Linked DNA regions of Struthio camelus. The protein of the gene in region 2 interacts with the protein of the main gene of each other region in a pairwise test. Links are inferred from orthologs where the notes say so. Each region holds a gene or a part of one and is shown on either strand. Other genes may lie near its edges.

The links. The genes of interacting proteins can lie anywhere in the genome.
Region 1: the proteins of FHL3 (region 2) and HIPK1 interact in binary tests that used the Homo sapiens proteins (3 or more experiments, as listed by UniProt). The two-hybrid records come from large-scale screens. The link is inferred for Struthio camelus from reciprocal best matches to the Homo sapiens genes FHL3 and HIPK1.

The regions. Positions count from the first base shown.
Region 1 is NC_090965.1:9,909,605-9,916,558, reverse strand, and holds the start of HIPK1 (homeodomain-interacting protein kinase 1), read right to left. Parts: upstream 3,002-6,954; 5' UTR 1,511-3,001; intron 1-1,510. Other genes in the region: DCLRE1B (5' exonuclease Apollo), read right to left, coding at 3,904-4,835, 5,165-5,344, 5,409-5,568, 5,634-5,822.
Region 2 is NC_090964.1:11,190,303-11,197,486, forward strand, and holds the start of FHL3 (four and a half LIM domains protein 3), read right to left. Parts: upstream 3,017-7,184; 5' UTR 3,011-3,016; coding exon 2,830-3,010; intron 2,303-2,829; exon of another isoform or gene 2,065-2,302; coding exon of another isoform or gene 2,058-2,064; intron 1-2,057. UniProt on the Homo sapiens protein: Recruited by SOX15 to FOXK1 promoters where it acts as a transcriptional coactivator of FOXK1.

The DNA.
Region 1 (6,954 bases), on a different chromosome or scaffold from region 2:
CCTCAAGTGACATCAGGGTGACTCTACGTTTTCTATACATTCTATTGCTCTTTTGGAAGAGTCCAAAAAGAGCACAAAGCCCGACAGCTGAGGTTTTAAGTTAATTTGGCGTGAGTGTAAAGCAATGACACATTGCACAGGAAATTATGTAAACTCCCCAAATAAATTTTATTGGTGAACGAGAAAAGGAGGATTTCCCTGTTACACAATCTTCATATCTAGAAAATAGCAACAAGACAGACTCTGTGCTACAGAAACGGGCAACAACTCTGCAGCAGAGAAGACAGAAGTGAAGTCATGAGTTGTTTTAGCCTTGTACTACGGGAAGCAGTGCTCTGAACACTACTGAGAAGAGTGCTTTAGGGTGGTACCTACAAAGCTACATTATGCTTGTTTGCTGTGGAGCACGCAAGCTATGTATTACTTCTGTTCCTACTGGGGACCTAAATCCCTAAGTCCATTTCTTTCTCTCCATAGGATAGCTAGGGCACTCCTTCATGGTTTTCTACACAGTTATAGAGAAGCTAGAGCCAAATAAATTGTTTCATAGAATACTGATTGGCTTGGCAACTGCACGGAAGGAGCTCTCAGCAGACAGCTCCTGCTCCCAGCACCATAAGCCTGCCTTACCCTCATGACAGGCTACTGTTTGATCACAGCTTGTTAAAATAGTGCTGAAAAGCTAAATAGGCAGCCTTGTGATTAAGGCACTTGCCAAGGGGAACTCAGCTCTTTTCCTACCTCTTCTTTAGACTCTGTGAGACTTTGGGTGAGTTGCTTCATCCCACTGGGGCTTGGCCAACTGTGGAACACAGATAAGCAGCTCAAGCATGCTCTGTGTATTTAGATCTGGAAGGGCTTTGGACAGAGCACCCTACTATTTTTCCTGCAGGGATGATTATAACACAGTTTCTACACACATGGTGCTAGATACTCTACAGCTAACACTTGGCTACAGGCCCTCATTGTCACTGCTGTGAGCAAAATGCACCCACAGTAGCAGTTCTGACAGAGCTCCATGCAGCGGAGCTGCAAGCATCAGGTTCAGACCCGGTGTACACGACGCTCCAGCTCTTTGACTGCAGTAACGTTCCCCCTGCGAGCTAAGCCAGTGGTAGGAACAGAGGGAACTTGTGGAGGCAAGCACAAGGGAGAACAAGGCCTGTAAGTGGCCAGCTATTTATTGCCAGGAGGCTCGAGAGGTAGCTGAAGGATTCTCAGAAATCTTAGAGCTCCCCCATAGGTCACTGCCACAATTTTCCCCAGAAGGCCATGTTTTGTTTGTCAGGATTTTAGGATAACACACAATAGAAGTATTTATGCCTAACAGAAGGAGGAAACACATTTTACACTCTAAAACACCTCACGCACCTAGCTGTGCAAGGATCTCCATGCTGACTGTTGGTCAAGACTCTCCTGCCTGTATTTTCTTTCAAAACTATGGAGAGGTTTTGCTTTCCCCTAGTTCTACATAATTTGGATAATTTCCTTCTGAAGTGGCAGGAATTACCTTTTATGCTCCAGTAGCAGAACCCAGCATTTCTTCTGCAGTTTTAACTGGAAGTTCAGAAAATGTGGAACAGATTCCCAGCCTTTGGAAGTCTTTGCAATTTTCAGTTCTGTGTGTGTGATCTGAAGAACTCTGTGGCCTCTGCAAAGCACTAACGCTCTTACTACTCCATTTTGCTCAGAGGTTCACCTGGAGGTTGTCTACTTCATTTAGGGATGATGAGAATAGAAGAGAAAAGGCTGCATGCCACAAAACATCATTAGCAAAATGCATCGAATCTCAGAGGTCATTTGCCACATACCTAAATGGAGCAGTGACTCAGAATGCAAGCATTCATTGAGCCACGGAGAGGCTGCAAGCCGAGAGCAGGACCTGGAATCTGGGAGTTCAGGCACTGTTTCACTCACCTGCCTGTCAAATGAATCATTTAAATTTCAACAATGTTAAAATACAAGCCAGCATCTCCAAGGCAGCCAGCAGCAGACAAACCACTGCCAGCGTAGGACAATGCTTCTGCTGGTAGCCTCAGGTGTTACCAAAGATGCAGCGCCTCCACTGACATTGAGCTGATGGGGCTCTGCAGTTTAATTTTGACCAGCAAATAGTCCACACAAATCTCCATGAAATGGGACATGTAGACCATGGCAAGAGGCTGGAGCTGTCCTTGCTACCACTTTTGAAGAAGAGTATTTGTAAGGCAAAACGCAGAACATTGCTCCATCCCTTCCAACACTGGCAGCCAGCAAGCAGAGTCAACAGTTGGTCCCGTTAAGAGGCATTGCTGATATTACGGTGATAATGCTGCAGTGCCAGTAAGGCACAGGGTTGGGAGCTAGGACTCATGTTTACCAGGTAGCTTTCCAAACATACCCACGCTGGCTGTCATCACAATTACAGTTCAAGACAGCCTTGTTTTTAGCAGGTGTGGCTGCCGCATCTACAGGCACCTCTGCTTCTCATTAGCCCTAGCTTTACTCAAAGAGCAAACATTTCCTTACCTGGCTTGATTCAGGGAATTCAATCTATCTAGCTGACTGGCCTTGCAGAGACCTTGCAGGAGAGACTCTAATCCTGACCAGGAGCATGTGAAACATTTGGTGTGGAAAGTAATGGCAGGAAGGTTAGAAAAGTTCAGTAACAAGCTGGCTTGGTGCTCCAGGAAAGAGCCCAGTGACTGCTTCCACTCTAGCGCTGCTGTTGCGACCCTGTGGGGAACCAGTTTGTGATCTGTTGCCAGAGCAGTTTGGCAAGTTTTCAGACTTCGCTGTGTGTACCCCCTGGCTAGTCACATTGCTGACACTTCCCGATTGTGACAGCCAGGCTGCAGGCTCTCTGCAGTTGACCTGACCTCCAAGTGGAGGCAGAAGTGCCTGACCTCCAAGCGGAGGCAGAAGTGCCTGACCTCCAAGCTAAAAGAGCCATTTTTGCTGTTTAGCCCCAGTATTCCAGCACTTTGAAACAACGCCACAAAGACTTAATGCTTTACACCAGTGAGCAAATGTTTCATTAACTCCTATCCCATTTGCCATTGGCTAGAAAGAACAGGCAGTCCATGGGAAAGCAATGCACCTAGCAGAATGCTTACAGTTACCAGAAGCACTTTGCAGTCAAGCGGAAACATTCAAACATGTAGACTTGAGTGCAGAGACTGCAGAGGCTATAGTAAGCCATTCTGAAAGGTCCAAAACCCAAGAATCCACACAATTCCTACCTTCCCAGCCTGTGACCTGAAAGAGCATTTATAGTTAACATTAATGCAGTGTTTTCAGAAGAGCAGAGCTGCAGCCAGCTGCAGTTGGCAAGATGCAAAAGCAATGCTGTGTTTGGAGGAATTCCAGTGATTCATTGATAGATGTAAAGGCACTTCATTTTCTAGATTTCTTTAAGTATCTTTTTTTAAACATAGTTTAATACATAATATTTGTAATGCATCTTGGAATGAATTGGTCATCGCCAATGAGGCATTGCAAAATATAGAAAGAGGAACATTTGGGGCTCTCAGATTCCCCTTTTTTGCTTCTCTCATTACATTCAAACCCGTTAGTTCTGCTGCAGATGGCTCACGCCCTCTGCTGCTCAATTTGAATCAATCTGGCAATATCTTTTGCCACAAGACTGATAAGTCACTGCAAAATGTAAATATAGGGCATGCTTGTAGTGGGACTACACCACCTGAGTGTAGTCTGAAGCCCTGGCATAGCTAGACAAATGAAAAAATAAATAAAGAGAAATCCTAACATATACAAACTAGTTCAAGTTGCTGCCTTCTCTGCTAATAAAGAGTAAAGAAAATAAAACCCTCATAGTTAAGCATTCTCCTGATGGGAAACTCCAAGAACGGGATGCAATCGTAAGACTGTCAGGATCACTGTTATTAATTGCATTGGCAAGTGTCATGAGTTTCCAGATGCTTCCTCCCTCCTAAAGAATTCTTCTACCAGCTTGTCAAATTTCTCTAAGGAATTCTGCTTTAGGACATTTAAAGGACTGAGTAAATACTGCTCTGCCAATCCACATGGAACAGTCTCATCAGAAACAGGTGACTGGCTAACAAGGTTAGTCGATATTACTACTGCTGGCTGTTCTCCATTCAGCTGAGCTGGTGTACACTGGCTATGGGGACTGTGGCTGTTGATATCCATCTTGATTTCCTCCCCTTTCTCCTTGCATGTGCGACAACAAATGCAGCCTTCTTTGGAGCAGAAAGCTGACTCACAGTTCTGCTGATGAACCTTAACATCCCTAAACGTTTCAGACTTGCCAGTATATTTCTCTGGGGATTCAAAAACAACTCCTCGAGGCACAGAACGCTGAGCAGCTCTTTTCAATGGACACACAGATTCCTGTCCTTTCTTTTTCTTTTTCTGCTGTACAAACTCTTGCACAGGCTCTGGGATTTTGAGGTCAGGAAGTGCTTGGCGATCAGAACTCAGATATTTCTCAAAGTAAAGTTGGCACATGCTGCCCCTCACAATCGGGATGACTGAGCATGGTTTCAGCCACTTCACAAACTCACAGAGCTCTGAAAAGGATGAATGGTCAGAGTAGGGAATAGGGTAGATGTTGGGGTGGGTGACCTTCACAGGCCTGCCGGTGGGGAGGATGGCAATGGTAGGGTGCAGCAGGTTCCAGCTGACGAGAGTGTCCCAGCGGATCTCAGCAACGTCCACGGCACGGATCCAGCCGGCCCCTTCCTCGGTGGTGAACACATCGGGCAGCTCCAGCAGCCGCATCTGCTCCAGGCGCCAGGGGCTCACCACAACCCAGGTGCTGAACTCCACCGCCAAATCCACCAGCAGCGTCTCCTTCCCCAGACTGTACACACCTGCAAGTAAAACCATCAGCAGAGGGACAGGGACATGCTGAGGGAGCGCGAGGCCATGCTGAGGGGGCCAAGGCTCTGCAAGGGGGCCACGCTGAGGGGGACGAGGCCACGCTGCCGGGAGGATGCTAAGGAGCGCGAGGCCAGGCTGAGGAGGACACACTGCTGAGGGGACCACGGCCCCACTGAGGGCAGGGTGCCGAGAGGGCACCGAGAGGCGCTGCGGGGAACGAAGTGCTGCCGAGGGGAGGCGGCGCCGGGGGAGCGCGAGGCCGAGGGCAGGCGGCCTGGCTGAGGCGGGGCGCGCAGGGACACGAGGCCGTGGCCCTCACCCACGACGACGTGGTGGCGCGGGTGGGCGCGGATGAGGCGGGCGGCCAGGCGGGCGGCGCAGCGGCGCGAGGGCAGGCTGCGCCCCGGGTGGCAGTGGGTGTTGTCCAGGTAGAGGCGGTCGAGGCGGCGGCCCCGCAGCACCGGCTCCTGCTGCATGGCGCTGGCGTAGCGGAAGTCCCCTGCGAGGAGAGGGCGTCAGGGCGGGCGGCGGCGGCGGCGGGGCCGCGGCGGCCCGCCCCGTACCTGTGTAGAGGATGGTGCCGAAGGCGCCCTCGAAGAGGAACATGACGGAGCCGGGGCAGTGGTTGGAGTCGAGCAGCGTCACCGTCACCGTCCCCGCGTCGCCCTCGCCCAGCACGTGGCTCTGCCCCACCTCCAGCGGCCGGATCCAGCGCGCCGGCACCTGCAAGGGGCCGGGCGGTGAGGGCCGGGCGGTGAGGGCCGGGCGGGGCGGCCCCGGGCACGTACCTGGAGGCGGCGGTGCAGGAGGCGGGCGGTGAGCGGCGAGCAGTAGACGGGGCGGCTCCAGGTGCTGGACAGCCCCACCGTGTGGTCCGAGTGCAGGTGCGACAGGAAGAAGAGGCGGGCGCCGCCCGCCCGCCGCACGCTCCAGAAGTCCACGGCGATCGGCGTGCCGGGGATCACCGTCCCGTTCATGGCGGCGGCGGCGGCCCCCCCCGGGCCGGCAGGGGGCCCGGCGCGCAGGCAGCGCGCGGCTCCCGCCCAGCCGCTTCCCGCCCAATTCGGCGGGCGGCGCGGCGCAGGCGCAGGCGGGGCGCGGGCGGGGGCGGCGCCGGAGCGTCAGGGGGCGGGGCGGGGGCGGGGGCGCAAGCGCATGCGCACTGCACCAGGGCCGCGAGGGGAGTCCGGGTGCCTCGCCGCCCCGGGGCGGCGCGAGGTCGCGTCCCGCTCGGCTCTGCCCCGCGGCCCGGTTCTGCTCCGCGGCCCGCTCGGCCCGGCCCGGCCCGGCCATGCCGTACCTGGGCGGCGAGGAGGCGCTGCGGGACCTCCGGCGGGCCCTGGCCAACCCGCACGTGCAGGCGGACCGGCTGCGGTACCGCGCCGTAGTCCTGCGCGTCATCCGGTACGGCGGGGCCGGGCGGGACGGGGGGGCTGTGTCCTGCCGTGACAGGGGGGCTGCCGCGGGGCGCGGCGTGCGGGCCGTGACAAGCCGTGACATGGCAGGCAATGGTGTGACGTGGCAGGCCATGCCATGGCGTGGCAGGCTGTGGTGTGCCACGGTGGGTCATGCTCTGCCATGCCGTGACATGGTGGGTCGTGTTGTGCCATGCCATGGCGTGGCAGGCTGTGGTGTGCCACGGTGGGTCATGCTCTGCCATGCCGTGACATGGTGGGTCGTGTTGTGTCATGCCATGACGTGGCAGGCTGTGGTGTGCCATGGTGGGTCATGCTCTGCCATGCCGTGACATGGTGGGTCGTGTTGTGTCATGCCATGACGTGGCAGGCTGTGGTGTGCCATGGTGGGTCATGCTCTGCCATGCTGTGACATGGTGGGTCGTGTTGTGTCATGCCATGGCGTGGCAGGCTGTGGTGTGCCATGGTGGGTCATGCTCTGCCATGCCGTGACATGGTGGGTCGTGTTGTGTCATGCCATGACGTGGCAGGCTGTGGTGTGCCATGGTGGGTCATGCTCTGCCATGCCGTGACATGGTGGGTCGTGTTGTGTCATGCCATGACGTGGCAGGCTGTGGTGTGCCATGGTGGGTCATGCTCTGCCATGCCGTGACATGGTGGGTCGTGTTGTGTCATGCCATGGCGTGGCAGGCTG
Region 2 (7,184 bases):
AACTTGCTTGGTCTGAACCCAGTCCCTTATTAACTGTCTTCTCCAGAAAGCCTGGCAGCTCTTCTGTTGATTAAAGGTCTGCTCAACTTCAGTTTTTATAAACAAAGCAGCTTTTACTTACAGGAGCAAGCAAAGACATATAAAACAGACATTTCATTTAATGCACAGCTATTACTTAAAGAGCAAAGAGATTGTTTTTTTCCCCTTAATTTGGTCAAAATATTCCCTTTTTGAGCTGATTCTTTGTTTCCCAGTCTCAAGCATTTGTAGTTGGATTCTTGCATACAACCAGATATACCAACTGCAAAGATAACCTAGAGTTATGGCCCTGGCACTTTTGTGCCTTTCCAGGCTGTTCTCCTGGCACGCAAAACCAGCGGAGCGAAGCAAGTGCTGGGTGCAAGGTGGCGGGGAGACACAGAAATGTCACTTGTGTGCCACACGTTCTTTCCAGCAGCCCGTCTCTCCTGTTGTCTAATCAGGAACTGTGGGCACCTGTGTGCTGGCCTCCTATGAGGAGCAAGCACAGTCTCTGTCTAAAGGACCTTTTACAGCCGTTAGTGTCCCTTGCAAGGAAAGGCAATTACAACTCTGTAACCCCCAGCATATCAGCACCTTCTAAATCTGGGGAAGGATTGAATCCTGGCAAAGACTGGCTGTCTCAGGTTACCATCCCCAGAACTGCTTGCTTGTGGTCTGAAACAAAACTAAGATCATCTGTTGCCTGGGAGATGCTGCATGTGCCAGCTGCAGCCGTCCTGGAAAAAGGTAACTCTACAAGGGCAGCAGAGCTGAGCCTGGAGAGTGCAAGGAACTGCCCAATGGAGACCGGCAGGGGATCCTGGAAAGCAAGAGGACACTCTCGTCTTTTAACCACTGCCTTGCCAACACAAAAATGAAACAAGTTTCCACCTCGTGCAGCTGATGCTTTCTTGGCTTGATGAGCTGGTCCCCAGGTGTCGTTTACTTCTGCCATACACAGTTAGTTATCTGCAAGTCAGTCTCCTTGTTAGAGCATTTCTCACTGACACCCTTTTAAATTACTCTTAAATATTGCACATTCTAAATAAGAGAAGCCGTCAGTTATAATCGTCACTTTTTTTTTTACGTAAAAGCTCTAAGAAGTAAGTCCTCGTGAGGACTAAAAAGAGATTTGCAAGAAGCGACATGCTTTCCGATTTCTGCCACGCTCTGCTGCAATGCTGAAAACTGTCGCCACATCCATGAAACTAAGTGGAAACAGCTATTACAAACGGGCACAAACGCTCACAAAGTTAAACGCGAACGCCTTCGCGCGACCCAGCTAAACATCAAGTTTCCAATACGTCTGCCCCTGCAGAAGCAGCGCCGCTGCTCGCCACGCCGACGGCATCGAGCCTGGGACCGCAGCACCCAGCAGCGCTGCTGGCCCGCGGCACGGGGAAGCGCCTGCGCTGACCGTGCCTAAGAACTTGAGAAGAGATGAAAACGGCTGCTGCACAGAAAGCAGGCGCCCTGCACGAACAGGGAAGGAACAACAATGTCAGAAAGCCCCTGATGCAGGCCTGTGGCTCCTCATCCTCTCACAGAAATCCGGGATTTGGACGGCGACTGACAGGACGCAGATTCGCCGTCGACACCAAAGAACTGAACGGCCAGGGTGCCAGCACAGAGGGCCCTCTCGCCAAGGCTTTCAGGTAAAGACCAGCACGAGCTGACGTTGCAGCCCCGAAGCAGACGACAAGAAGAAACGCCCGATTTCTTAGCTGCAGTGAGGCTGCTCCCGCTCATTGCCGGAAAAGACCAGCAGCCGCCCGCGCCCGTCCCAGGAAAGCGTCCGCTGGAGTGAGAGCGCGGCGGGGTGCCCCGGCGCGATGAAAGAGCTCCCAACGCCGGTCGCGTGCTCGGGCGGTTGGAGGATTGCAGGCTTCCCTTCGGCAAGGGAACACCACCACCTGGATACCCTCCCCTCTGCTCCCCCGACCGATCCAGACAAAAATGATTTATTTACAGAGCATTTGTCCCAAATCGGCAAACCCCACAAACAAAAACCTCAGACCAGTTCTCTTAACCGTTACCTTGCATTGCTGAACGCCCCGGATCGGCGTAACACCCAGCACGGTCTCAGCGGCTGCAGCGACGCAGGAAGCCAAGGCAGGACTGGCTCTCCTGGTGGCTCTCGCGGAGTCGGTTACAGCAGGTGTGACACACCAGAGCCTCTCACTACTAAATCATCGCTGCACTAGCAAAACAGCCGAGCGCTTGCCCAGAAACAAAAGCAGTCACATCATAAACCAGAGGGTGACCTCAGCACAGGGATTGCGTTTCCTACGGAGGTTCAGATTTCATTACTTGCGGCTGGAAATTAAGACTCTTACAATTAAAGTTACTCTAAACTTTCATAAGAAACATAAGAATTCCAGATTCTAATTTTGTCAGATATAATACACTTCTGAACCCTTTTTCCCCCCGCCAATGTCATGATGACAGAAAAGAAGAATGTACAAGCGAAACTCATAACAGAAAGTTAAATGCTAATAAACATCATTATTAATAAGCCTTTCCTAACAGGTCTCGGTGCTAACGAAGTCAGCAGCAGAACTCGCATCGATTTCCACTGGAAAGGACTAGTACAGAATGATCTACTTGGGGGTCCACTTAGTCAACGTTTTGGGACTGCCCCCTTCCCCTCTTAATCAGAGTTCCAGTTCTGCATCTTCTTCCAAAATTAAAACTCAAAACTATAAAGGATCTGAAAGCACAGATTTCACCATTCCTTAGTTGAGTCATTGTTCCACAGAGCATGAAGCATGATATAATCCGAGCACATGGTCTAACACCTTCACCAACCTGAAACGCGTTTGTGATTTTCCACACACAACTCTTCAGGGTCTCCAAAAACAACACATGCAAGACTTTTATACAGGCTCAGGGGGCCAGGCTTAATGTTCCTGTGACTTACATGACGTTTGCATAGGGTTGAGAAATACAAGAAATAAAACTTTTCTTGGTCGAGTTCCATGCAACACATTGTGTACTTTTTGCTATTAATGACTCCTTGGTAAGTACCACTATCACTCTACATATTCCAGAACACTCTGAATGAGATATTACAGCAATTTTCTTGGTATCAAAGTTTTCACTGAGTGTAAGATAGCTAGTGAAATACCTTAAGATTTCATTGCTGGCTTCTTTATGTAAAAATGCCCGCCCGTATGCTGAGAAAAGGGCAGGTGAAATGACCTAATTCTCATTCCAGTATATGAACTAAATATTAGCGTCCCTAAACAGAAAGTTTAGCTCCCTGTCTCCCTATTGCAGATAACACAAACATATGTGATGATCCAGTGCAAGATCGTAAGTGGAAGAGTGCTTAGTTTCCAGAGTTAACCAGACCTAAAATCCTGTACCTTTCATAGGATTACTGCGTCCTCCATTCCCTGCAAGATGTCACCAGCAAAAACATTATTTGCTCTTACAGCACCTGCAGGGCAGGGAGTTACTCTACCTCCCTCCTGGGACCTACACCCTGGAGGGTTTTGGCACAATGCATGCCTGGTGGAGCTAAAAATAGAACCAAAATCTGAGTCCTGTCCAGTGATTAAGCTGGAAAGCTTATTTCCTCTTCTGACATGGAGCATCTATCCCAATCCACCTGGAAACCACAAAGTCCACTGATGCACGTTATAGACCCACGTCCAAATGGATTCCACAGACCGAACTGCTTCTGAGAAACGGGAAAAGGAGAGGGAGAGACGGATGGACACACTCCTGCGCAGTTACTCTGCACTCCAGATCTTTTGTCCAAATAACACTGTGTCTTTGCTAGATACTCCTGGTAATTAAACTTGGAGCTTTAAAAATGAGCAAGTTGACTCATAAGAAGGCACTGGAATGCTGGAACCCCAAGAGTTATACCTCTGTTCAAACTGTGTTAGTTCTGAAGAGCAGAAAAGCCATTTTCTTCTTAAATGAGGGTAGTGGAATTCCAAGGTAAGGTCAAAAGCATGGCAAAAGTCAGTAGTTTAGGCCAGTACTTGGGATCGTGATTCTCAGAAGTAGTCTTTGTGCTCAAAGACAGTTCAGGATCTGCTTTTTTCGGTTCTTCACTATCCTAGCATCCTAGGCAACATCTAGGAATACCGCCCTCAGCTGCAGACCTCAAGGAGGAATTTTTTTGTCTTCAACCACGCTGAAGTCAGGCCTTTCAGTTCAACATTTTATATTATTACTATTTAACATCTTTTGAGCCTGAAAATCCAGAACATTTTTCCACAACAGTTCTAAGTTAATATATATGCTGTTTTAGTAGCAAACGGCATGATCTGCAGCCACTGACTGACCTACAACAGAAATTATCCAACTTCTAACACACTCACATGAGGGAAATCCTGTGGGCTTACATTATTCAAAAATAAGGTTGCTTTAGGGTTACAGGAACAACACACAGCCAGAACGGGCTTTAAACTGGGAAGATACAGTTTGCAAATAAACTGCCATTTGTTTTTACAATTCTCATTTTATATTAAGAAAAAAAAAAAAAAAAAGATCCTCCCCAAAGACCTCAGGAGCCAGAGCTCAGCCTGGAAAGGATTTTTATGGTCACACTGTAAACCCACAGAGAGTAGGGGGTCTCAAACGGAAACAGTTCATTATAGCTAAAACACTGATCCTGGGTTCTGCCTGGAACCAGCTGGGATTATTTCTGCAGTTAAGCAAATTACTGTTACTAAAATCCACTCTGATATTCAAAGGCACATGTAGAAGATGCTGAATAATCACTCTTCTTCCCAGATAACAAACTAGGAGCTGTATTTGTTGAGGGGTTTCTGTGTGAGCACTTGAAAACTAGATAAACAAATTCAAAATATCAAGGCCATATTTACATTCCAGGGCAATAATTAAATATCTATAATCTTGTGGTTCCAATATTCTAGGTTTTTCTATGCACTAAGATATTTAGTCATGTAAAACATCTGTAGCAGCTGGAAGACATTCATTTGGCCTGCTAAGATTCATTAGTTTAAAAATACATAAATAAAGTGTTCATTTCCCTTCCAAAATGCTAACACTGCTCCTGTCAGTTCTGCTAGGGTGCTTGGTGAATAATGCTTATGCAATCTTCTCAGCAGGAGGTATCAGATATCATAGTTTCATAAATGCATACAAATATCTTAACTAACACAAGGCTTGTATTTAGGTTAATGCCCTTTTGTGAACTGGTACTGACTAACCTAAGTCATTCACAGCAATATGAAAACCAGCTTGCAAAGAGCTGAATCCTGTTTTTATTCTTTCTCCTGTCCTCCTGACCTCCCAGCACTCAGGAGACTGCTGAAACCTGCTTTTAAAATTTCCTGATGCACAGAAGTTTTTCTTCAGAACTGGGATTGAGATACCTGTGTTAAAGGATTACAAAACCAAAGCCTCCATGCATACCCCTCTTTTTTCTCCAAGAAGTTCCACATAATTTAATACAACTTTCTAAAATAATCAGAGTAAACACAGGGAACAGCTGAGACTGTAAAAAAGAGTCGAGCTTGGCTTAGTATCTGTAGGAAATCGCTTTTCTGGGGAACAGTTTGCAAAGGGTTATTTATTGGCTAGCCCTTTTTCTTTTGCTGGAAGATGCTGAGGTTTTAGTGAAGTTTCTGCAGAGTATGCAACAGTATTCAGCATTCACTCAGCTAATGAGTTAAATCGTTGCAGCTCTCCGATGACTTGAAGATTATGGGTGTAGAAAAAGGGAATGCTCGGCTAGGGGAATGTTCAGCAGCCACGACCAAACTGCGGTTAAAACAGACACCAATGATCCTATTCAGCTCCCAAACCTCAGACAGTTTCCATTTTCTCAATAACAAAGCATTTTTGTGGAGTGAGGTAACAGGCCTCCATCTGCCAGGTCTAACTCTCCACTAAGATTTCCTAAGAGTGTGGCTGAACGAGGGCTGGCCGGCTAAGCTGGAGACAGCGTGCAAAAGGCAGGCACCCTTTACGCCTGAGAAACAAAGGGACAAAGCTGTAGCAGGGCAGACTCGGAGAGGAGCCTTTTTCGGACAGTCACACAAATTCTGCTGGGAGTTTGTATCAAAAGCAGCCTCAAGTACCCTCCAACCAGCGTACGACAGGAGAGCTCAAGAGGCCGAGGAAAGAGTGAGACTTTTCTCTAAGGATGGACTGGATCAGGCAGGAGGGAACAGAGGACAAACACATGTTGTAGCTTCGGTACTTAGCAATCCAGCACGGAAGTGTCAGAAGTACAGAGCGCTGTGATTTAAAAAGTGAACACAGCTCTCTGAGGGCATATGAAGAGCCGCACCGTGAAAATGGGAACGTAACCACCCTGCTTCCCTGGAGGACGGCAGCTCACAGGATGGGCTGCTCAAGCAGGGACATATCCTTCCACATCTGAAATGTTGTATTTCCAAGCCAGAATAGGTTACAGCCTGGGAACAGAGGTCAGCTTTTTATTTATTTATTGGCAGCCTGTAGCTTGGCATCTCAATTCCAGGGATGCTGAGCACCTATATCCTTCCTTTTGGTTCCAGGCAAAGACAGTGTTCAGCTTCTCTGAGAAGCAGCCCGTTCGCTCAGGTTCAGATACAGATTCTGCCTACTATCAGGACTCCCAAATCTGACTCCTCCTTTAAGCTGTCACTTGTCAGCTCCCTTGCAATTCCCAGAGTCTTAGCTCCAGATTCAACATATCCCAACATACCAGCCCTACCAAAGGATGAGCAGAAGGGAACACCACAACCTCAGGCTCACTCGTAAAAACAAAGGCAAAACCCTTGGAACAGCCCGGGGAGGTGAGGCTGGTTGGAAAGAGTTTGGAGGAGAAGGTGACTGCGCAGCACACAGGTCAGGAAAGGATCTTCATGGCATATGTGAGAGTCTTCTGATCTATTTTTTGTCCCTGCATATAGAAGGCTTTAAAAAGTAACGCAGGAGATTCTACTGGACACTGCAGCAGCTGGTGTGAATAGATGACCTGTGACTCGAGCAGGTCAGAACATACAGGACCCCAACTTAGCTACTTCTCTGGTGAATAGTGCTGCCAAGGGCAGTTATTCATGCCACTTGGAGCCCTCATTCTGCCTGCGTGACAGGAGCCATCTGAACACAAGTTTTAAGGATAATCACAATTCAAGGGGTTTAGAAAACATTTATAGAGAATTTATTCTGATGACATTATTTTTAGTCTG